3 linked regions of the Struthio camelus genome follow. The protein of the gene in region 1 binds, or shares a complex with, the protein of each later gene. Links are inferred from orthologs where the notes say so. Each region holds a gene or a part of one and is shown on either strand. Other genes may lie near its edges.

The links.
Region 2: the proteins of EDN1 (region 1) and EDNRA are in contact, whole or in part, in a cryo-EM structure (PDB 8HCQ), measured with the Homo sapiens proteins. The link is inferred for Struthio camelus from reciprocal best matches to the Homo sapiens genes EDN1 and EDNRA. Residues at the interface, in NP_001403492.1 of Homo sapiens: Cys53, Ser54, Leu58, Asp60, Lys61, Glu62, Cys63, Val64, Tyr65, Phe66, Cys67, His68, Leu69, Asp70, Ile71, Ile72, Trp73; in NP_001948.1 of Homo sapiens: Tyr68, Gln72, Thr73, Lys74, Tyr129, Asp133, Ile136, Asn137, Lys140, Leu141, Gly144, Arg145, Trp146, Gln165, Lys166, Val169, Glu220, Phe224, Val227, Phe229, Tyr231, His236, Lys237, Thr238, Cys239, Met240, Leu241, Asn242, Gln252, Lys255.
Region 3: the proteins of EDN1 (region 1) and EDNRB are in contact, whole or in part, in a cryo-EM structure (PDB 8XWP), measured with the Homo sapiens proteins. The link is inferred for Struthio camelus from reciprocal best matches to the Homo sapiens genes EDN1 and EDNRB. Residues at the interface, in NP_001403492.1 of Homo sapiens: Cys53, Ser54, Cys55, Ser56, Ser57, Leu58, Glu62, Cys63, Val64, Tyr65, Phe66, Cys67, His68, Leu69, Asp70, Ile71, Ile72, Trp73; in NP_000106.1 of Homo sapiens: Pro88, Pro89, Ile94, Glu95, Ile157, Asn158, Lys161, Glu165, Asp166, Trp167, Val177, Pro178, Gln181, Lys182, Val185, Phe240, Ile243, Met245, Tyr247, Leu252, Ile254, Leu256, Leu257, His258, Pro259, Lys270, Lys273, Leu277, Trp336, Leu339.

What each region holds. Positions count from the first base shown.
Region 1 is NC_090943.1:100,617,267-100,624,241, forward strand, and holds the start of EDN1 (endothelin-1), read right to left. Parts: upstream 3,064-6,975; 5' UTR 2,893-3,063; coding exon 2,574-2,892; intron 2,421-2,573; coding exon 2,285-2,420; intron 1,280-2,284; coding exon 1,121-1,279; intron 850-1,120; coding exon 742-849; intron 1-741. UniProt on the Homo sapiens protein: Endothelins are endothelium-derived vasoconstrictor peptides. Probable ligand for G-protein coupled receptors EDNRA and EDNRB which activates PTK2B, BCAR1, BCAR3 and, GTPases RAP1 and RHOA cascade in glomerular mesangial cells.
Region 2 is NC_090945.1:35,585,457-35,593,307, reverse strand, and holds the start of EDNRA (endothelin-1 receptor), read right to left. Parts: upstream 3,013-7,851; 5' UTR 2,739-3,012; exon of another isoform or gene 2,688-2,738; 5' UTR 2,390-2,687; intron 1-2,389. UniProt on the Homo sapiens protein: Receptor for endothelin-1. Mediates its action by association with G proteins that activate a phosphatidylinositol-calcium second messenger system. The rank order of binding affinities for ET-A is: ET1 > ET2 >> ET3.
Region 3 is NC_090942.1:176,373,868-176,381,265, reverse strand, and holds the start of EDNRB (endothelin receptor type B), read right to left. Parts: upstream 3,013-7,398; 5' UTR 2,818-3,012; intron 2,540-2,817; 5' UTR 2,495-2,539; coding exon 2,012-2,494; intron 1-2,011. UniProt on the Homo sapiens protein: Non-specific receptor for endothelin 1, 2, and 3. Mediates its action by association with G proteins that activate a phosphatidylinositol-calcium second messenger system.

The sequences.
Region 1 (6,975 bases):
AAGTGATATTGTTTCCTACTGCCACTCAACATATTACACATAGATCTCAAAGGGCAGTTGTGATTTTAATTTAGTCTTAGTCTCAGGTATTGGATTAGCCTCAAATATTAATTTAATCTTCATTTTCACCTTCCTCAACCTTTTTGCAGTCGTTTCCATTGCTAGCATCCTGTATGCATTTACACAGGTTTATCTGACAATGTAAGGGATTAGGCAAGAAATCTGTTTTGCTGCATTCTAAAAGCCAGCTACACCAGCCAGAAGAAATCATATGTTTAAGATCCAGATAGGTCAGTAACTTTTCTTTCCAGAAAAATGCATTAAAGCACCTAAGAAAAGGCATGCTGACTCAATTTTGTTTTAGAAGAATAATTGAGACATAGTAAGTAATTGAGATAACACATGAACACACTAAGATGTCAGGCTCTGCTTCCTTCTGTCAGGATTTAATGATTTCATACTCTTAAGCTTGGTATCCCTTTAGGCCTGAGAGTAAGTCTGTTTCCTCTAAGCAAGTGGATGACATGTATGACACTAAGTGGATGACACTAGGCAGAGCTCGCCCTTGTCTTAACAACTTCACAACAACAACAACAAAAAAGAAACCAACACAACAACCCTCAGCAATTCCTCCAAAATACTTGAGCTGAAATCACCAGCTAAGTTCATGTTGACCCAAAGGGAGAACCACGCTCTCTATTGCTACTCTGGGGAATGACAGCAGGATGAGAGGAAACTCACCTCTTCATTTTCTTGCTGCCAACAAACTGTTGGTTCATACATTTTGGTCCAAGGCAATTGCCACCTTTGTTGCGGTGACGCAAGCTTTTCTCCATTGTGGACTGAGCCCTGTAAAAGCGAAAAAACACGGTCGTTAAAAAACAAAACAAAATTCTGTAGTCCACAAGGAGATGCATCTAATCTATCACTTTGCAAGGCATGCAATAAGCAATCCTTCTGGGCCAAACCGTGGTATGTGTTATAGCAGTATGAGCAGCGAGGTAGGCGGTAAGGCTTTGGGAAGATTATTCACACAGCAAGTGCCAAAACGAGTAAGAGTACCACAATCTGGCCCTTTCACATGCACATGTCTTTTAAAGAGCCATAACAATGAACGCACCAGTGTTCTTTTCCTGTCTGGCAGAAACTCAGACATTTCTTGTCTTTCTGGTTGGCACACTGACATCTGCTGCTAGGTTCAGTGAGCATCTCAGGCATTATGTCCTTCAGTGATCTTCTGGATCGAGAAGGACCTCCAAGGCCATAAGGAACGGTCTTCCTATGATCAAAGAGTCAACATGAGTACAATTCAAATAATCTTGTGGCTTCAGAGCAGCAGGGTATTGTGGGCAGCCTTATCAATGGGGTTGATTGCATGAGTAAAGCTTATGGGATCAAGGATGCTTTGCGGGTCATAATTTCCAAGCAAGTGCTTCTGATGCTCCTGCAACATACTAATTAGCATGGCTACTGACAAGGCTAATGACTTTTAAATTGTGATTTCATGAGCCTGGTATGCCTCCATATGCAACAGAATGCAATAAAACCTCCTCTCTTTGAACTTTGATAACTGAAAAAAGTAATAAAAGTGAGGAATAGATCACCTCCAGTCACAGAAAATTCAGCAATAGAACAGATCACCGAAGGCAGCGTATGCAGTGTCAGCTGAGGTTCTGGCTAATTGCACTTTTTGGTGAGGACATTGCAGAAACAGGCATTGACACTGTACCCATCTCTGCTTAAACACGAGATGTGTTAATTTGCAGTGGTCAGCAGTAGCAAGAGGTAGCAAGGAGCCACCTCACGCCAAAGGAAGCCCTTCAGCCTCCTGACTTGTTGGGAGAATAGTTATGCAAAGTCAAGCTGGCAAAAATCACGCTCTTAGCGTTTTGTTCACCTCTGATTCATAGCAAAGAGTATCCTACAGCCTTTGCAGGGCAGCACCCAAAGGAAAGCCTCTTGCCTACGCTTCAGGAACGCAGGTGTGTTAGGGCTATTAAGAGTTATCTGCTCAATCTCGCTGGCCAAATCCTGCCTGCTTTCTCCCAGCAGACAGTCCATTAAACTCAACAGGAAAAGAGGAGCAGGGAAAGCAGTAGGAGTGACCACGTACACAAAAAAAAAAGAAAGAAAAAAATATACACATATATATTCCTTCCTCCCTTCCTAATCTCTGCGAGGGAGTTTGTGGTTTAGAAGCTCCCCCCTCCCTCGTTCCCCGTTTTTCAGGCCAAAGCCCACCGCTGCGTAAGTGCCGGAGGGGTTGCCCCCCTCGCCCACTCACTCGGGGGTGTTGATCCAGATGATGTCGAGGTGGCAGAAGTAGACGCACTCCTCGTCGAGCAGCGAGGAGCAGGAGCAGCGGCGGGCGCGGCGGTGCGCGGTGGCGGCGGGGGGCGGCGCGGCGGCGGCTCCGGGGGCTGCGGGCGGCGGCGGAGGCGCGTTAGATCCGCGCAGCGGCCGGACCCCCCCCCCGCCCCCCCCTTCCGCGGCACGGAGCATCGGGGCTCACCCAGGTGTGTGAGCCGACCCCCCTCCTCCCCAACGAGGGAGAGCGCGGAGTCCGCACCTACCTGCCGGCAGCAGTCCCGGGCAGACCACGACCAGCAGCGAGACGATCATGTGCGAATAATCCATAGCGGGGAACAGGGAGAGGAGCCGGCGGCGAAAAAGGAGAAGGGGAAAAATAAAATAAAAATTAAAATTAAAAAAAAAAAAGGAAAAACGCAAAAAACAAAAAAGGATAATAAAAGAAAAAGGAGGGAAAAAATAAAACCCCTCGCAGCGCGAACAGTGCGCGGCGGCGTGCGGGGAGGGACGCGGCGGCTCGGTGCGCCCCGGCGCGTCTGGCTGGCGCGGCGGTCCCCGCGCCCTTTTATAGCGAACCCCCATCGAGCGGGTAAACAGCCCCGGCGCTATTTTATCCCGAGACAATGTTATTCTGTTATTAGTCACCGCGCGGCAACGTGCGGGCTGAGATAAGGCCGGGCTGGAAAGGAAATCGCCTGCAAACTTCAGAGCGGCAGGCGGCGGCGGCGGCGGGCGGCCCGCCCGCCCGGGGGGGAGGGCGGCGGGCGGACGGGGCAGCGGCGGCGGCGTGGGGGCCGGCGACGGCCGGGGCTGCGCCGCCAGGGGGCGCCCTTCCCTACCCCCCCCCCCCCCGAGCCCCCCCGAGCCCCAGCGCCGCTGCCGCCGCGCCCGGCACCTGACGGCGGCGCCCGGCCGCCCCTGCCTCTTGGCGGCGGCGCGCAGGGCCGCAGGCAGCGGGCTGAGTAACAACAGTCCTAAGGACAATTATTACTGCGATGGTTGTAGCTGTGGTTGGTACAACAGCGGGGCGAGCCAGGCGCGGCGGGAGCGGCCGCCGTGGGGTGTCGCCGCGCCCCCCCCTCCCCTCCCCCCCACCCCGGCGGCCGTTGGGGCGGCCGTTGGGGCGGCCGTTGGGGCCCCGGGCGCGCGCCGGGGAGAGGGAGCCCCTGCCGCCCTCTTCCCCCCGCAGCCGCCCAGGAGCCCCCAGGGCCGCCTCAGTGCGAAGAAATAGGGCTGCCGGGGGGGGGGGGGTAGCAGCTACATCTCTGCGCCGTGTCCCCCCCCCCCGCTTCCCACCTGCGCACCCTTGCAAGGCCACCGGTGCCCCTCCTGTCTCTGGTGGTTTGGGTTTGGTTGCGGCCATGCGATGGGGTTATACAGCAACGCCAGCAAGGCCCCGTTTTAACTCCCCTTTTCCACAGGGCGCCCTGCCACAGAGGGTATTTTGGGGTCCAGGCTGCCTGTGGGGACCTGGCACGTTACGCGTGTGCTTAGCGGAAGGGACGACCTGTGCCTGGCCTTTGCCTTTGGCTCTACCGCTAGCTCCGGCGAGGTCAGGACTAGTTTTTTTTCTGGTGCGTTTATGTTTGCTGCCTTGCGTTGAGATGCAGTTGCTGTCAATCTGGAAGCTGGAAACGCGAGAAATGAGCGTAGCGATGTGGTGGTAAACGCATACACACCTGAAATCTCCTGACCTCCTAATTCAGAAAGCCAGCCTCGGACTACACGCTGAAGTGAACTCCGATGCCTGCGATCGGAGGTGGAGCCCCAGCGCTGCAGAGCGTGCCAGCTTCACCTATGATAAAGAGATAAGGCTCCCTCGGTATTTGTGGTATTTCCTTGCACTGTGCTGTAATAATAGAAATGACCTTGGGTATCACAGAGACCAAGGTTGTTAACTGCAAGTTGTATTGCGATGGCTCAGGTGAATGGCAATTTTTTTTAAGCATCCTGTTACAGTGTGCTGCTGTAGCATAGTGGACAGAGCGTCTACGGCCGTGCTGAGTCAGACTAGAGGTCCATTTAGCTGGTATCCTTTCTCCCACGACACCTGTTAACAGATAGTATGACAACGAGTACAAGAAAGGAAAGCAAGTGAAGACTAATCCTTTCCTCAGTATAACCTCCCTGCTCTCTCAGGGTGAAGTTTAGGGGCTTTCTGAGAAATAGGCACCATTTAGACCACAAATACGTTGAATAAACACCAGTGGCCCTATCCAGAGATGTTCATACCTGTTTATAGTACAGATCTCTAAAGCTTCTGTGAAGAGAGAAAGCTAGCTTATATAATTTTTTTACACCTTTCCAGCATGGGAGTTGTGTGTTTTTCAGAGCAGGGATTATATCTTATGTGTATGTAGGGCAGGATTTACCAGAATATCAATGTATCTATATGTGAGTTAGTAGAGTTATGATAAGAATCCACCAGCAGAGGTCACCTAGCTACATATAAAAAGTAATAGTAACCCACTGAAATAATAAACTTTATTTTTACCAGCATCCAAAAGTTGAGAAAGAAATTAAGTGGTATTATTTTGGTTATGTGGCGTACAAAGCAGCTTTGTGGGGTGAAACATAGTTATCACTCCTGTATATAACGCCAGTGTGCATTAGCCTTTCTAGGCCTGGCAAGAAACTGTTTCATGCAAGCACATATTTAAAGAGAGACATTTTTCCCTCAGATTCCTTTTTCCAAGACATGCACATAAAGCCTAAATGACTCATATCAGTGTGAGATATTTTCAGCTTTGTGCAAATTCCTTGTTAGAAAGTATTTTTTGTTAGCTGGCAAAAATGGCATGCAGACTAAGAAACATGTTTCCTCTAAGTAAAAAAGCACAAATATGATATTGTGGAGGCCTCTGAAGTTGCTATTCATTTTTTTCTTGAAAAAACAAAAACATCTGCCGCAATTTTTGGTAAGGATTTTTAAATATTATTGTTGTCAGAGATCCATATCCTCTGATTCAGCAGTTTCTGAGATCTCTATTTTCACGTCTTGAGACTAACTGGAATCAAGTTGTCCTGTTGCTTGTTAGAGTAAGGCAAAGACAGATTTATGTTCAGCTGCCGGTGACCCAAATGGGTTATTTCAGGAAGTGGGGATTACCAGGCTAGGAAATGGGTTTTCCCAGAAAGAAGGTAACCCTCTGTCCATGCCTTGGAGGCTGGGCAATATGGAGCAGGTCTGTGTCACGCAGAGATACCTTTTGGGAGTTTTGCCAAAGAAGGAAGATCCACTAACTTTATAGCTATTTACAATACACATGTGTAACAGTATGGGTCACAGTAGGGGTCTTATAAGTAGAATGGGACTAAACTTTGGCCAGCAGTCAATGTTTGCAGACTGGAAATACAAAGTCATGTACAGTAATACAAAGTCATGCACTCAACAAATTGTTCTGGTTCGTGCCAAGCCAGCTTGCCCTAAAGGTCTGGAAGTAGATATATTTGCACTGCTAGCCATTTGGGCAAGGGAAGAAGTGAGTGTTTCTCCAGCAGGCTTTTTCCCTTTCTAGCTTGAGTACCTGCGCCAGCCACAGCTGAGAGATGCTGTGTTGTGGGGTAAGAACTTAAGCCGGCCAGCCAAGATCTGGTTTTAATGTTCCAGCTGGAAAATGCTGTGGCACTGACAAAGAGTTTTCTAAAGGACATTTTGTATAGTGTCAGAAATGTGAAATGCCTGCTTATCAGCGAAACAGTAAAAGGAGATTGTAAAACTGTGCTTTTCTGTCTGGGGAACATGGGGAGAAACATGCTGTTTTCTGCAGATTTGAAACACAATTCTCAATTAAGTGAAAGTTGCACAACCTGTCCCCTTACTTCACTCACTGCCTCTCTTGCACCTTCCTTCCCTCCTAGGGCTGTCCAGTCCTCCCCCCCACCTTCTTATGCAAGGGGGAAAGCACTTTTCTACCCTTCTTCTATAGCGTGCAAATTCAAGAGCTAACTAATTTAGTCTTGAAAGTGACCTTATTCTTATCTGTCACTACCCAGGCTACAATATATTTATTTCTCATTACAGATACTTCTGCTATCAGGGTCCTTGGGCAGAAGCATGATTTCTGGTAAACCAACTTTCCTCGTTTCCTCCCACCTCTAATTAGTGAGTTTTCTCAAAGGATATAAAAGCCCATCTCACATTACACTTTTGGACCTCTTGAAGTGCAGAGGGGAGGAGAGACAGGGTTAGCTACTAATCCAGCAACCTCAGCTCCAACTATTTGTAGCATGCATCAGGATGCTTCCCCTCGCCGATCCCACCAATCATCATTTTCCCTGCAAAATTCACACTGCATGCTAAACCCTGTTTAAACTAGGGACGAAGGTGGCAGCCATATGATTCTTGGTGCACAAAGCCCATCATCAGATGAAAAAAAGAAAACTTCCTGCCTATACGTGTCCTAGCACCAAGTGACATGACTAGATATGATTTAAAATACTGGCTACAGTCTCAGCACGTGTGTCACTGCCTAGCTCAGCGTCAGGTGTTATTTCTCCAACAGCCCATGCCATGGGGCTTCTGAGAAGGAGGAAGATCTTTCTAGCTCTGTTGAGACTGAGAAAGTCACTGCTGGGTAAAGCTAGTCACTATAGAAAGCCACAGCACTGGTGAGGGTGTCTATAACAGGTTTTTCCTTTTTTTTTTTTTTGCACTATTTTTGG
Region 2 (7,851 bases), on another chromosome or scaffold:
AGGGTACTTGAATGTACAGTTTTTACAACAAATATGTACAAACACATATTTGTAATCACTGTGCTATTCTGAAATCTAGATTATCCACATTATTAAATGGCTAGCAAAATTGAAACACAAAAAATCCCTAACAGTAATTGAAGCTTATAGAAATGGGTTCCTGCAGAGTCCTTTTAGTTTGAGGCAGGATTTGTGTATGAAAGGAAAAAATATGGTGGATGAAGTTCTGTTAAAAAATGTAATTTTGCAAGAAAAAGTGTCCTTCAATGGTCCCTCAATAAAAGGAAGCCTTGAGGACTCTAATGAATGATACTTTGGCCCAAATACCAAGTTATTATTTTAGCTTTCTGCTAAAAAATAAGGTAACAACTCTTCATTAACAATTAGAGCTACTAAATTTGTTAATTTTATGACTATTTAAAATAGTTAGTTTAGTATTCTAGCAATATCTCATGACATTTTCAGATGGGAAAGGGAGCATCAGAGCATTCTGTTACAGTAAGTGTGACTGTGTATGCGTGAAGGCCAGAGCCAGCTCCCTGCAGCATGGGGTAGATACCACCTCCAGAGGAACTTCTACAGTATACAAGCCAAGGAGGTCCATTTTCCTTAAGCCTCAGACTGATTCGGGATTCAAATTTTTAACATGACTTGTCTATGCAAGGCAGGGTAAAGTGCTGCATTGTTGCCAAAAGAAGAGTAGGAAGTTGAGTATTTATAACTTTCTGATTTCTAGGGACTCACATGAAGGATTTGGAAGGATACTTTTAAATAAATAAATAATAATTTCTTTCCCTATGGGACTATTAATTCAGGGTTTATAGTGAAAAATTTACAAGAGAAAGAATGTGGGAGACAGTTTACTGATAGGACTTCTGGACACAGCCAGAGTATAAATATTTACTACTACTATTATCCTCTTCTGTTGTATGTGATTTGTAAAAGTGTGTGTGTATCTGTATACAGCGGCATATGCAATGTTAATCTGAATATTCCTCTCTGGTATGTTGAGTGCTGTCCCTCACAGACCAATGATGCAAATTTACAATGTGTCATATTGGTGTATCTGAGATGAGGATTTGACCAACTGTATGCTTGATTTTGAGGTTTGAAGCTAGATAGCTAATCTTTTTAAATGACTGTTATGTTGGTGTCTGAGGGCAGTTAGTAATACTTTGCAGGATGTAAGTGCATTCACTTTAGGATTCTAAATCACGTCAGAAACAACAGGCACGCTTTACTTTAAATCCTTTCAGGCAAGTACTAATACTTCTATTATTGGTTACGACTATAGTTTCCCAATTTACAAATGGGAAAAACTGAATCACTAATGCTTTAAATGACTTTCCCAAGTTCATACTTGCCCAAGTAAATCTGTGGCACAGCTATGAACAGCGACCACAGCCCTATGCTTTAATTGCTATATTCGTCTGCTCCTTATTTAATGACGTTTTCTTCTGCGAATTTAATATGTACAGATCATATAAATATGGTGGCAGCATGGTAATCATGCAGCTAGCGTGCGAAGCTCTGAACAAAATTGCCAATTACCATCTCTTCCCTCTCCCAGAAGAAATTTTCCTTTAAATAACAAAGCTAGTAATTTCTAGGAATGTTTTCCTATGGATTCCTGACAAAACCTTTCATTCCTCTGTGCATTTTTTCAATGTATCTGTATTGTTATAGACTATAATAACAACATGCTAGTATCTATACTAAATTTTCATTACAATGTAATCCGCTATTCTTCTTCACATGTAACCTAAATACCTAGAATACGTGAGGGTGTTGTGTTGTGCAGGCCATGTGCATGTGCAGGCCGTACGCTCGCACAGCACGGCAGGAGCAGAACTCCTAACTTGGGTACATCTCCTGCCTGGGGTATCACGCACGAAAAATTCCCGTGCCGACACTCACAAGAAGAAACAATACTGTTGGAAATGAGATTACTCAAAGTATCAAAGACAAACTAAAAGCATTAACACTGATTAATCTGCCCAAAAGGCAGCTGAAATGTAAACAGAGTCCAACAAACTTCAGGGGGGCAAGAAAGCTCTGAAGCACGGCCGACAAACTGAATTTCTCTTCGTTGTCTCCCACTCTAGCACAGATAGCGTACTCTGCTGTTGGGATAATTGCCTTGTATTTCTTCCTCATTCTCTGCTTGTAACACTAGCAAAAGATCAATTCCAACATGCCCTTGGCAAATCAGTATTATCTCTTCTCCAGCCTATATAGATCATCTGACAAGATCTATATATGTTCAAGTTTATTTAATAGTATCCCGAGCTGCCTTGTGCCTCTCTGTCTCTTGTTGTCTCTCTCCCCCCCCCCCACCCCCCGCCCCTCTCTCACACGCACAGTTGCACCATCATCACCTAATCATTACCGGGAGCGTTATCAAGAAGCGCTGAAAGTGTCCCACGACTCTCGCCCGGACCCTCCCGGGCAACGGGCAGCGGCTCCCGCCCGGCTCCTGCAGCGGGAGACCGCGCACTCACCCCAGGCGTGCGTCTTCCTGCGGGCTCACCCTCATGTTGCTGCTGCGCCTGCTGCTGCTGCTGCTGCTGATAATTTCCTCTGAGTAGCTTTTCCCGGGGTAGTCTTACCAAATCCTCCTGCCTGCGTCTGACTGGGTGGGATTGAAAATCTCCACCTCCGCTAAATCAGGGAAAGAAAGAGACAGACTGAAGGAGAGCGTCCCCTCTTTTCTGCCCCCTCCCCCAATTAAAACAAACCTCCAGCCCAAACTGAGCCCCTGCCAATGTTAAACACAAAGGCTGCCTCCCGGGCACAGGGGATCACTGAGCTCTTTAACTGTTTCCTCCCTGAAATGGAGCTGAAGTACTTCACTGGACTCATTTAAGCAACAGTAGTGGGAATCCACTACTGTAGCTGTCTGCTAAAGTAGCACAGGCATTTCACAGAAACATTGTAAGTATGGTTGCCCCAGACTGTATAAGAACGAAAAGCAGAGCAGGGAGAAAAATCTCGTGATATAGTTTTTGTTTTGTGTTTTCCCCAGGTTTGGGTAGGATTATAGTATTTTCCAAGACAATCAGTAAAACTAGAAGTGTAAGAGTTTCTGGATCTTTCAGGAGTGACTGTTCCTGGATGGAATTTTTTGTGATCCATCCAAGACCACTTTGCTAGTACCTCTTATCTGTTTCCAGACCAAAAAAGCATTTAAAAAGATAATAAAAGCATAGCATATACTAGCATTTCTGTGTTTCCTAATACTGTTCTGTCAAGGTATTCTGTCAAGGATGTGCATTTCGGGTTAAATTTCCATCTGGCTGTACCCCAGAAATAATTTTCTAAACATATATGGGCTTCTTTTGAATATAAAAGGGCAATCTTCCTAAATGGGATGTAAAAATATGTAGTCCTAGAAGAGTAAGAACCAATTGAAAGGAACAAAAGAAAATGTTACGCCTAAAGGTCTGCAGAGTTAAAATATCTGGCACCAAATCATGTGAGAAATTGTTTTGATCTTTATATGAGTATTAGATAATAAAAAGCTTCTATAGATGCTCTCTTAAATCATCTGACAAACCTGGTACAGAAAAAAGCAGCATCTGGATCAACTGGAACAGTAACACTTTATTTCTTCTAGAAAACCATCTCAGTTATATGATGAGTCAGAACATAAGATCTTTGAAGGAACAGAAGTGTTCAGGCTGACAATCTTAAGAAGCCTACTGTTTGCAAATCAGGTAAAAATGTTTAATTCAAAATCTCAAGTTGTCTTGAAATTGAATAAATGTGATAAGCCACTAAATTGGCCATGTGATATTTGTGAAAGTTATTTAAAAATTCCTTACAGTTTTGTCACAGATGCTTAGTATTACTGGTAGGCTTTGTCAAGAATCACCTGTATAATAATTTATTGACAAAACTATTAAAGACCTAGAAAGCATGTACCTATAGATCATGCACACTTTAGGAGTGCTTCATCAAATGCAATTCTTAAATCTCTTATATATTCTCCAAACATTCCTAACACCCTATGCATTTCCTCGGGTCATTTGACCTTTATATCTAAACAACTTGACTTGCCCAGCAAGATTAAGTTTAGATTTCTGATCTCATTCAAACACACATTTTTCCTTCCAGTTCATAATTCTATTAATTTAGAAGGTTCCTATAATCTATTCAGACACTGTCATGCTTAATTATATTTACTATGAAATGGAATAATTGGATTTAGTAATGCTGCTAAAGTCTATTTTAAAATATGAAAAGGGAGAACTATTTATTACCATTGTGAATTCCTCTATTATTACCAACCCACATAAATTGTATTAATTATTAGAAATTACTGTATTGCTCGTAGTGGTTCCATGATCTTTGTTGTTGTTATTGTTCCTTATTTGGTAACTGAACCTTTGTTTTGCCTTTAATCTTGCCAGGTACCTAAAACTGAGCTGAATTCTTATCTGAGACTAAGTTAAATTCAGAAGTTATATTTAATCATTCCTGCTAATTTCTTTGACTGTGTTCAGGAAAGTAACATGGGAAAGGAATTTATCGTATATGAATTCTCTGAAAACTGATATTAAGTAAGTGCAGTTGGCCTCAGCTACTAAGAAAAGTGACCAAATACTGTTCTTTACACCAGGATATTTTTAGGTATTAGAGAAGTTTTCACGGTAATTGTAGGACTGCTGTCCTCTCCGTGCATTCTTTTATTGGAGAGTTACTGGTTGAGGACTCTCAGAATCAGTTTAGTTGAAGTATTTCCTCCAACCTCTTCCATTTTGTCTCTTCAATAAACTACTTCACTTTTGGTTTAAGCTTCAAAGATTCAGAGTAAGGATAACGTGTTACTGGCCTTACAGATAACAACACGTTATTCTTAAGTTTTAAGGCTAATAGGAACATACTTGGGTTTTGGCACTTCAGGAAGACTCTCAACATTTTTAAAGCTGTTATTTTTCCTGGAGAATTCAGCTATCAGAAAAAAATTCTTTACTTCAAGTGTTACAAGCCTAATGATACTAAAACTGCAGTGACTTTTATACAACTGCCTCAGAGGCAATAAAAGAGAATCTTTAGTTATGTTTGGAGGAGTTAATTTTATTCAATTAAAATGAGTATCATTTAGTAAATGTATTACCTGTAAGCTACTTACCTCCTCAGATTTAGTATGTAATATAAGCATATGTTCATCAGCTTGAGGAGTCCTAAATCCCATTGCTGAGGTTCAAAAGACCAAAATCAAGAAAGAGATTCCCTTATAAGTGGCAATCTCATAAGCTATCAGTTGATATGCTTATAATCTGTAGCATTTTCAGAAAATCAAAAGAGCTGTTTATGGCAAAGTGTATAAATCTCCCGTTATCTTGCTTTCTTCCACTTGATTTCTGATACAAGTTTTGTTCCTTCAAGAAAGAGTGCAAAATATTATGTTAAGAGCCACTTGGATATTTTGGAAAAATGAAACTACGTACTTTGGTTGAAATACTAGATGACTGTTTCACATTCTATTCAATAGGTAGAGCTCATGAATAGTTTTCCTTTATGTTTTTGAAAATGCCAACTCATCAAATCCAAAACTTTTCATTGCAAACATACTAGTTTGAGAAATATTTGTTAACCAGGTTTCTCAACTTTTATTAACCAAGATTTAGTCAGAATTTGCACCTCATTGAAAAAAGCCAAGAATCTAAATCATAGGCAGTATTTCTATCTCGTATAGATTCTCTGTTCTTTGAAAAGAGTTGCACTCATGCAAAGACTTTAGAGTAATTCAGTTAAAAAGTAAATCTAGCATGAGATATAAATTCATTGCAGCTCATACTCTATTATTCCCAGTGATCATGGAACTATTTGCTGTCTATTCCGTGAAGTTTCTGTTTCCCAATTAGCTGTCTTATTTAAATTGTGTCCCTGGTAATGGCGTATCTATGTATCTCTGTATATGCCTAACACAAATAAAAACTCTTTCTGGCAATAGTATCTTGCTCGTTCCTCCCTTCCTCCTCCCTTTTTTTACTTTCTCACTCATTTCTTTCATATTTCTAGAAAAAGTTAACAACTTATAGTAGGGATTTATAATTCAAAGTGGCTTATAGGGAGAATACTTTTATATTAGAAATTAGTTCCAATTTCTAATAATTGGAAAGGTATTTTGATTAGAACTGTTGAAATGTTCTTGTGTTGGAACTATGGGAAGTTGAGACACAAAGCTATGATGGAATAAAAAGGGAACAAAGGATGAAAGTTTAAAGGATTGAATGGACCATGGTGCCAAGCATTTAATATAGGAACAACTGAAGGAGCTATTGCACCCCAAATGGAATTATTAGTCAAGAGCTGTGGACGGGGAGTTGGATTTGGATCTGCATTGTAGCTCCCCTTCCTTGATATTAAGGAAAAGCAAGATATTATGTTATTGTCTTCAGACTGATTAGCCAAACCATGTTCTTAGTAAATTAAAATATAAATTTTGCAGAAACATGATAGAAAAGTTCTAATATGAACTGAGATTGCTGAACCTTTGGTGTGGAGACTAGAGAAATAGTAACCTATATTGTTCACTCTCTTCAATTATTGAGCAGAATCACAGAATCACAGAATGGATGAGGTTGGAAGGGACCTTTAAAGATCATCTATTCCAACCCCCTTGCTCAAGCAGGATCAATGAGAGCAGGTTACCCAGGACGCTGTCCAGACAGCTTTGAATATCTCCAAGGGTGGAGAGTCCACAACCTCTCTGGGCAGCCTACTCCAGTGTTCAATCACCCGTACAGTAAAAAAGCTTTTCCTTCTGTTTAAATGGAATCTCCTGTTTTTCACTTTAGCTGAATGGCAGAGCTCAGAGGGTGGTGGTCAGTGGCACAGAGGAGGCCTCTAATTGGAGGCCAGTTACTAGCGGTGTACCCCAGGGATTGACACTGGATCCAACCCTGTTCAACTTATTCATCACTGGATGATGGGGCAGAGTGCAGCCTCAGCAAGTTTGCTGATGATACAAAACTAGAAAGAGTTGCTCATACACCAGACGGCTGTGCTGCGAGCTGTAGTTGACCCTGCTTTGAGCGGGGGGGTTGGAATAGATGATCTTTAAAGGTCCCTTCTAACCTCAACTGTTCTGTGATTCTGTCACTCAGATCAAACTTCCATTGTGTCAAGAGTATTTTGATCTCATTTTTACAATTGTAGTGTTCAAAATACTTTGAAATATCCTGTGTTTGCTGGTGAATAATATGATATTGAATTGAGCATGAACTACAATAATAATAGTACCTGTAAATTAATATTTTGTGGAAAATGGGGTAGTGTCCAAAAGAATAATGTGATGTTTACTGGAATGTTAAGCAAACAGTATATTTTTTTCAAAGTTAGTTCTAGGAAGGCTTTTTTTTTCTCCTCTCTTCTGAGGCCAAGACAGTAAAGCTATTGACTGCTGAGAACATTTGCCAATCTTCAGCTGGTTCTCGTAATTTGTCCTCGTTGTATCAGAGAAGGCATACTTTCCCATTGCTGTTAACTCACAGCAATAGCCCTTAAATCTTAGGCCTCCATCTTGTCCTTGATTAGCCATAATCCATGTTTAACTTTCATGCATAAGTGGGAAACTCAAATTTTAAATATGAAAAAAATATTATTTGAAATTAATAATCCTACTTGCTCAATTGAAGGTTATACTAGCTGAATAGAGTTTGTCTGTGATCCAGCTACAGTGATGGAAGAGTTTTTGCAGGACCCCTTTGGTTTTTTACTCCCTTTTTTCCAATTTGTGAACCATAAGTTGATAAAATGGCCACAGCAGGTCAGACCAAAAAGTTCTTCTAATCCAGTCTCTGACAGTGGACATCCAGGTGGATGACTAAAGAAGAGTAGCAG
Region 3 (7,398 bases), on another chromosome or scaffold:
CGATCTACTTCATTCACTTTAAAATTGTTTCAAATTGCAAGTTACAAATGTTAAGTACACTTGATTTACAAACTAAGACTCTGCTAACTTTTGTTTTTCCCATACTACTAGATGATTATAGTCAGGCTTAACTACTATATTACACTACTATGTTGTTCCCCAGACCTACAAAGCAGCTCTGCGGTGGAACTATAGGAGATGTAGAGTTGAAAAAAAGTTATCATCAACTCAAATTACACTCAAACTATTCAATTTTGATGAAAAATCAAATTAATACAATCTATGGTCTGTTTTTTTTCTGACTATATTAATTCAAAAATCTTGTTTTAAAATGGCAAATATTTTACTCACTATTCTAATGGATAATGTAATTCTAATGTGGGCTCTTGGTAAAGATGAGTGGCAGCATAGGAGTTTTGTCACCTGAGAGCTTATGATAAGCTCCTAGTATTATCAATAGCGCAGTAAGAACCCTGGACTTGCAGCTTGTCTAATACTTATCAGTAGGCAAGCTGACCTTTCCTCCAGCTCCAGCCTACTCATGATGATATACTTGATGATATTCAACCAAGATAAGGACTGCAATATATTACTGCATTTTATCACTGATGTATTTAATTTTGACATGTCAGTGTCCCTGAGATTGCAGGGAGCAATTGTGTTACTGTATGAACAATTGTATTATTGATACACTATTTTTGCCTTTTTTGAGAACGGATGGAAAAAATCTTTCTTTTCAATTAATAGTTTCTTATAATGTTAAAGTTATTGAAAACAGTTAACCCTGAATATTTTTTTCATAAATTCCACTCTCACTCAGAAGACTGGTAGCCTCATATGAGAACTCCCATAAATGTATTGTATGGAAATTACTGAAATTACAAATTGAAGCAACTTTCAGGTAATCCAAGTTATCCAGCCCAACAGTTTGACACAATTATGATGACGTGTAAGTTCACTGCTTCATTACTTCAGAAATACAAAAATGCAGCATTCTCCCCTTTCAACAACTTCTGGGAGAAATCACAACTGATATAAAAGACTAAATTCAAAACCTGTCAGTTCAACACAGCTTTCCAAAGCTAAAGTAACAAAACTCAAAAGTTTAAAACCATGCACACGAAGTGAGGAGAAGGAATAGATAGATGAAGGCTCTCATGTTCACTTCATGCAATAGCTGATGGGTGCACAGGAACCTAGACTGCAAACTTTGGGGCAGAAGGCAGCCTTGTTTTCCCATCATCCCTCCCAGGAGTCCTGATCTTAACTAGAGGCTGCATTCAACTCGAATTCATAAAAGCAAAGGGACTGCTCAAGCTGGGTAGATAGGGCACAGATTGCACTCCTTCTGCGGCAAGCTTTATCACCTTAAAGAGTAAGGAAGGTGTAAGAGATGAACTGCAAGAGTAGCAGGTGTGGCTACTCCCTCTCCACTGCTCATGCCGTAACACTCTGGTAGGAGTGTGAAAGGGGGAGAGGATCACAGTAACAGCATATCTCACAGCCACTGGATGTTTAAACAAACACAAAGCTCTCTCCCGCCTGCTCTGTCAAGCCCTCAGCTTTAACCGGGTTGGTTCCTTCAGCAGAAGGAGCTGAGCAGTACCCACGCTCGCGGCAGAAGTGCTTCTCTGGCATTCCTCCATCCCTTGGGAAAGGAGGGAACCTACAAATCTAACGCACTCCTCATTTCCTTCGTCCCTGGGACAAAATCTGTTTCCAGGTGACTTTCAGGGCCACGTTACCTCTAATCACGAATGGCCCCCTCTGCCCTCGTCCCAAACCCATGCCCAGATCTGGGAGGGCTGCGACAGGGTCAGAAGATGGGGGCGGTCTGCAATTAGAGGGGCAACATGCAGCCCCAGTTCCATCCCGTGGCAGGTTTTTGGCCGAGGGTTTAGCCCCCGGCGTCTCCCCGCCGGGCCAGGTGGCGTTTCGGCAGGGAGCCCTGAGGAGAGGTGGCAGGCACCGCCACCCCCGCGCGCGGGCCCTTGGCCGGCTGCCCCCTCACCTTGTAGACGTTGATGGGGATGTCGATGATGATGTGCAACAGGTCCCCCAGGGCCAGGCTGGCGATGAGGATGTTGGGCCCGTTCCTCATGCACTTGTTCTTGTAGATGATCCGCAGCAGCGTGGAGTTGCCGATGATGCCCAGCACGAAGACGAGGCAGGACACCACCGTGTTGATGTACTTGAAAGTCTCCTTGATCTCCGTCTGCCCCGTGCACATCGGGGGTGAGGCCGAGCGCGGCCTGCCGCCGGCCGCCCCCCCGCCCTGGGGCAGCGAGGCCGGGCGGGAGGCGTTGGGCTCGGCGCCGCGCAGCCCCGGGGTCCCGGCCGTCGGGGGCACGGCCTCGGCCGCCGCCGCCGCCGGGCTCTGCCTGCCCGGGCGCGGCGGGCGCAGGGAGCCGTCGCCCTCGGCGGTAGCGGCGCGGCCGGCGAGGAGCAGCAGCAGTAGGAGAGCGGGCAGCCGCCAGAGGCGGGCGGCGGGCATGGCGCTGCGGCACAGCCGATCCTCCGCAGGGCGCTCAGCGCCGACCTGCGCGGAGAGAAGCGACAGGGCGTCAGCGCCGGCGGCCGCCGTCTCGCCGGCCACCCCCCCCCCCCGCCCCGCTGCTGGCCGCGCCATTCCTCCTCCCGAGGGGCTGCCCCCCGCCTCGCCGCTCCGCACCGCACCGCAGCCCGGCGCTGAGGGCAGCCCGCAGCGGCAGCCGCGGGGAAACCTGCGCCAACAGCAGCTCGGGCGACGAGTCCCCGCCGGCCGCGGCTGCTGCGCGGCGCCCCGCTCTGCTCCCCTCGGCATCGAGCTCCTCTCACCCAGCCCAGCCTCGCCGAGGCGCCTCGCCCGCCGCCTGCGGGGCGCTGCCCGCCCAGCGAGGGAAACGCGCTCCGCCGGTTACCGCGCTCCACGCCCGGCTCGCTGCCCCACGCCCGGGGCCAGCGGCGGCAGGCACCGGCTCTCGCCACAGGACGCGGCGGCTGTCAGCAGCGCACCAAACGCGGCGGCTGAAGCCGAGCCAGTAGGGCAGGGCCGGGCCCCCCCTCCCTTTTCTAAAAGATTCAATCGCATCTGTCCCATCCGTCACGGCCAGACCCCACCCGCGCCCTCCCCCCGCACCTCCCCTCCCGGGCCTCGTCCCTCGGCCAAGCCCGCTGGGCCGCCCGGCCGCCCGTGGCCGTTCCTGCCGGCGGCGGAGCCGGGGCGGGGGGGCGGCCGAGGCGCCGCGCCCGCCCCCCGCCCAGGCTCCGCCGCCTCCCGCCCCTCGCGCAGCCCCAGCCCGGCCGGGCGGGCCGGCGCCGCGAGGGGGGGGGGCTGCTCGCGGCGGGGGGCGTGGGGGGGAGGGGCGTTGGCCCTGAGGTGCGTCCGTTAAACCGTGGCGGGCATCGCCCCGTCTCGCCAGGCAGCCGGTACCTCGGTGTGGGGCCGGCGGTGCGCCCTGGTCTCGCCGGGCTTTTCTGCCGTCCGTCCTCCTCCTGTGCGATTTTTAAAGCAATTTGCAAAGCGAAGTGGTTTTGTTGTTGTTGGGTTTTAGAGTTTTTTTTTTTTTCCCCATTGTGAGAGGACCTCTAGGGGAACGACAAGGTGTTCTCTCTGCTCTCCCTCCCCAGACCCGTTTCCAGTAGCTGCTCTACTTTCCCTCTGCGTTTTACTCCCCGCTGCGAGCAGCCCCTCTGCACGTCCCGAGTGGCTGAAATGCTGAAGAAGTTGCTTGTGCGATGCCTAAAAGGCTAGCGCCGTGCAAACTCGGGTACCTGCTTTGAATACTATTTTTATAAGAAGTAGCATGTTGATTTCTGCGAATGTGCAGTGATCCAGCTTGGCTATCTCGTCGCCACCGTTAGGCAGCCTTAGAAACAAACGCACCTGATCTCAGCGAGCTCCGTCTTGCCGTTGGGCCCTTCAGTGACCATAAGGAGCACTCGGATTCGTACAGTGTCTTGGGGAGAGTCAGAATAGCCTCCGAGGGGTGGAAACAATTGCACATCTAACTGAAAATAATGCAGTTTAAAGCTCTTTTCCAGCATCTCTGCATGTCTCCACGATCTGTTTAAAATCATGCTGCAAGCTAAATCATATGCAGAAAATAAATGTATAGCCACTGATTTACACAAGTGACCCACTCACGTTATTGACATACTCTTGAGGAGGAAACACCACCAACAAAATACTGTGCTTTCAAACCTCTCCCTAAAATCAGTCTGACCTATTTCATCTTATTTTCTTTCCAGCATCTCCTGCTAACACCCCCTTGAGAGACTGCAGCAGCCAGTCTTTTCTCTTCCTCTTTTTGCCCCCTTTTCACATCTTCAGCTTTGTTTCAATGTCTCCCACATCCAGTGCTTTTCTCACTTAACCACTTGTGATCCATTTCCTGATTTAGTTGGCATGTTCTTTTTTTCCCCACCTTATTTCATTTGGTGCTATTTGTAAAATAAAGGCACCAGAGTCACTTCTAAGCTGTGTGAGTGTAGTGGAAGTTGATTGTACTCTAGCTGGAGAAGTGATTTTCAGAGGTTCAGACTTTCTCAGATTATGTTTTACAGTAGGGTAAGTTTTGCAGTACCAGCTGATTCCACTCTCATTGCGTCGGTGTCCTTGACAAAATTGTGTTAGCCCTGTAGTGTTCTCAGACCTGGGGACTTAAAGTCTTTACAGTTTCCAGTTCTGCCTTCTCTGAATTTCCAGTTCTGTGATCTGTAAGGGAGCAATGTTTTGCTAGATGTGGTATTGATCTTTCCTAGAAACTCCTGCCAACTAACATAACATTAACTTTTATCTTGAAGTGCTTGTTGCTTGCAGGGTCACCCGCTAAGTCTCTAAAACTCTTAGGCTGACCATCGAGAAATAGATTGCAACTGCACTGCTGTATCTTTCCTAACATTTTTGTTGGTGCACCTATTCTTGCTGTATTTGCTACGGTTTGGTAGCAACATTTGCTACCACTTACTTAAGCATCAGAAGTGAAAATCATAGAAAAAGCATTAGGATATACAGGACTCTAGACAACTGCTGATACCTAAACAGAATTACACTGTAGTACTGCACATAGTAGGTCTTTGGGACGAAGCATCCAAACTCTTTCTGGCTGCCAGCAATTTGTCTGTACCAGCTCTTTTAACGTAATTACTGGTTATGATGAACTGTCAATAATGACAAATTTGATGGCTCGTCAGAAATGATGGGATAGGCAAGGCAATACCATCCTTCTTGTTTCTCTTCTGTTCTTTTCAGGGTTTAGAATATCTGAGAAATTAAAAAGAGCACGTGCTATCATGCAAGTCTTCTTTAATTTGGGAAAAAGTAAAAGATAATATATTGCCACAGAAATGTGTGTGGATGTTAAAAGAATATTAAACTGAGAGCATAGGGGATATCTTGGCAAATTAACTGTTGTTTAAATGAAGAAGCAACTAACGTGCTAATAATCTGTATTGCAACAAGAAAAAAACATCTGTGACTGTAACAGACTGGTGCCCTTAAATGGTCCATGCTAATTAAGTTATGAAATAAATTCATTACTGAATGGTATGTAATTCATTACATAGGATTATGCAAACTGCCACTAGTGTATCTGGATTTTTTTTTCTAAGAAGCAGAAATACTCCCTTTCCTATACAAAGTTCAATTTCAAGTGCAAAACAGGGAAAGTTAGATCACCATCCAAAAGCTTCTTCAGACTGTCTGATGTTCATTTTATTACGTTCTTTACTTCCACTGAATTCCAGCGCTCTGCCTATGAACCATGGCCAATGAATCTTTTAATTCTAAGTCAGATGTAACTTTGTGATCAAGGACTGATAATGCTCTGACAACATTTTCTGGAGTATCGTACACAGAGTGAATAGACTGGGTAATCTGTAATCAGCACCAGAATGGTTTTCAACATCAGAAAGATTTTCCAACTTGTTCCATTACATGTAGAATAAATCATGAGCAGTGGTCAAGATTATGATATCAGAAGATCTTTTTATTAACACCATCCTGAGACACACCTCAGGAATGTATATTTTAATTCATTTTATACTCAGTGAATTAATGGGAATTTTGTCATGAGCTTGCAGATACTTTAGCAAATCTCTTTAATTATCTATTTACATCTTTCAATGCCTAAGTAGCACTGAAAATCTGCTCCATCAGGCCTGTTTTTCCTTTTATTGAAGCCAGTGAAAATTTGCCTACTAACTAGGACAAGTTCAGGATGAATAGAGAGAATAGCAACCTCAGTGTAAGCTACTCATTAGATGCATGAGGTGAATTAAAGTCTGAACATTGTTTTCTGTATTTTAAAAGTTACCATAGTAACATTACCAATGACAGTTTTAACCAAATAAACAAAATGTACTTTGAGAAATTCAGAAATTAGAATGTTGCAGTTTTGTATCTGGACATCATTAATACTAGACAGATGATACAGAAGAATAACACGTTTGTCTCAGTTTTGTTTTCCTTAGTCTAAATTCATGCCAAAATGGCTTTGAAAATGGCTGGTCTTTTCAGTGTGATGCCTAGCTGTGTTTTGTCTTTTCTCCTACAGAGATAAGCAACTTCCATAAAATATGGTTCTTGTCTTTCAATTGCAGTGTATTGAAGTTACACCTAATTCTTGAAACAATGTGAGCAATATTTATTTTATCAGAATAAAACAATAGTAGTAGAAATCACAAATGAAACATGAAAGTTGAGAGCAGATACCTGTTTTTATGTAGGAGTTCCATCTTTTATCTTAAAGATGTAAAATGCATGACAATAATAGACTGAATCAAATTTGTGCTAACCAAACACTCAGTTTTCTCTTACAGTCCTTATTTATATGATTTTGAGGATTTTTAGAAGGGATAAATTTCAAGCCTTTAAGACAGATTGGTTGCCAGCTGAAATATGTTATTTTCTCTTCTAAGATTAAAAATAAAATGACGTTTAGTAAAACACATTCTCCTCATCCTTCCTATTCAGCGTCAGGAAAGGAAATCACAATGTAAATTTAAGTTCTAAAATTAAAGTAGTAGCATGTAATTAACTCAAAGTAAGCTGAAATACACTGAATTGCAGTCTTTTAAGGAAAAGCTACAAGAAGTTGTTTAGGGATGTAGCTGGAGGTTTGGATTAGTAGCATTTCTGCATTTTTCTGAAATAATTCAAGGCACTATTTTCCATATTAATTCAATAGAATGAAGGTGACCAGGTTTAGTTTTAAATTCCAGCTGCAGTTAGGAGGTTGGATCAGAATCTCCCAGGAAGCCTAGATAAGATCAATTGTAAACAAAAATGTCATTTTTTTTTTGCTGCTGGGAAAGGTATAAGTTTCTTCAAAGGAGGTGATAACTAATCATACATTGTTTATGTTATTGCACAGAAATCACTGCAGGAAAGCCTTTCAAGTCTAGATTAGATTCATT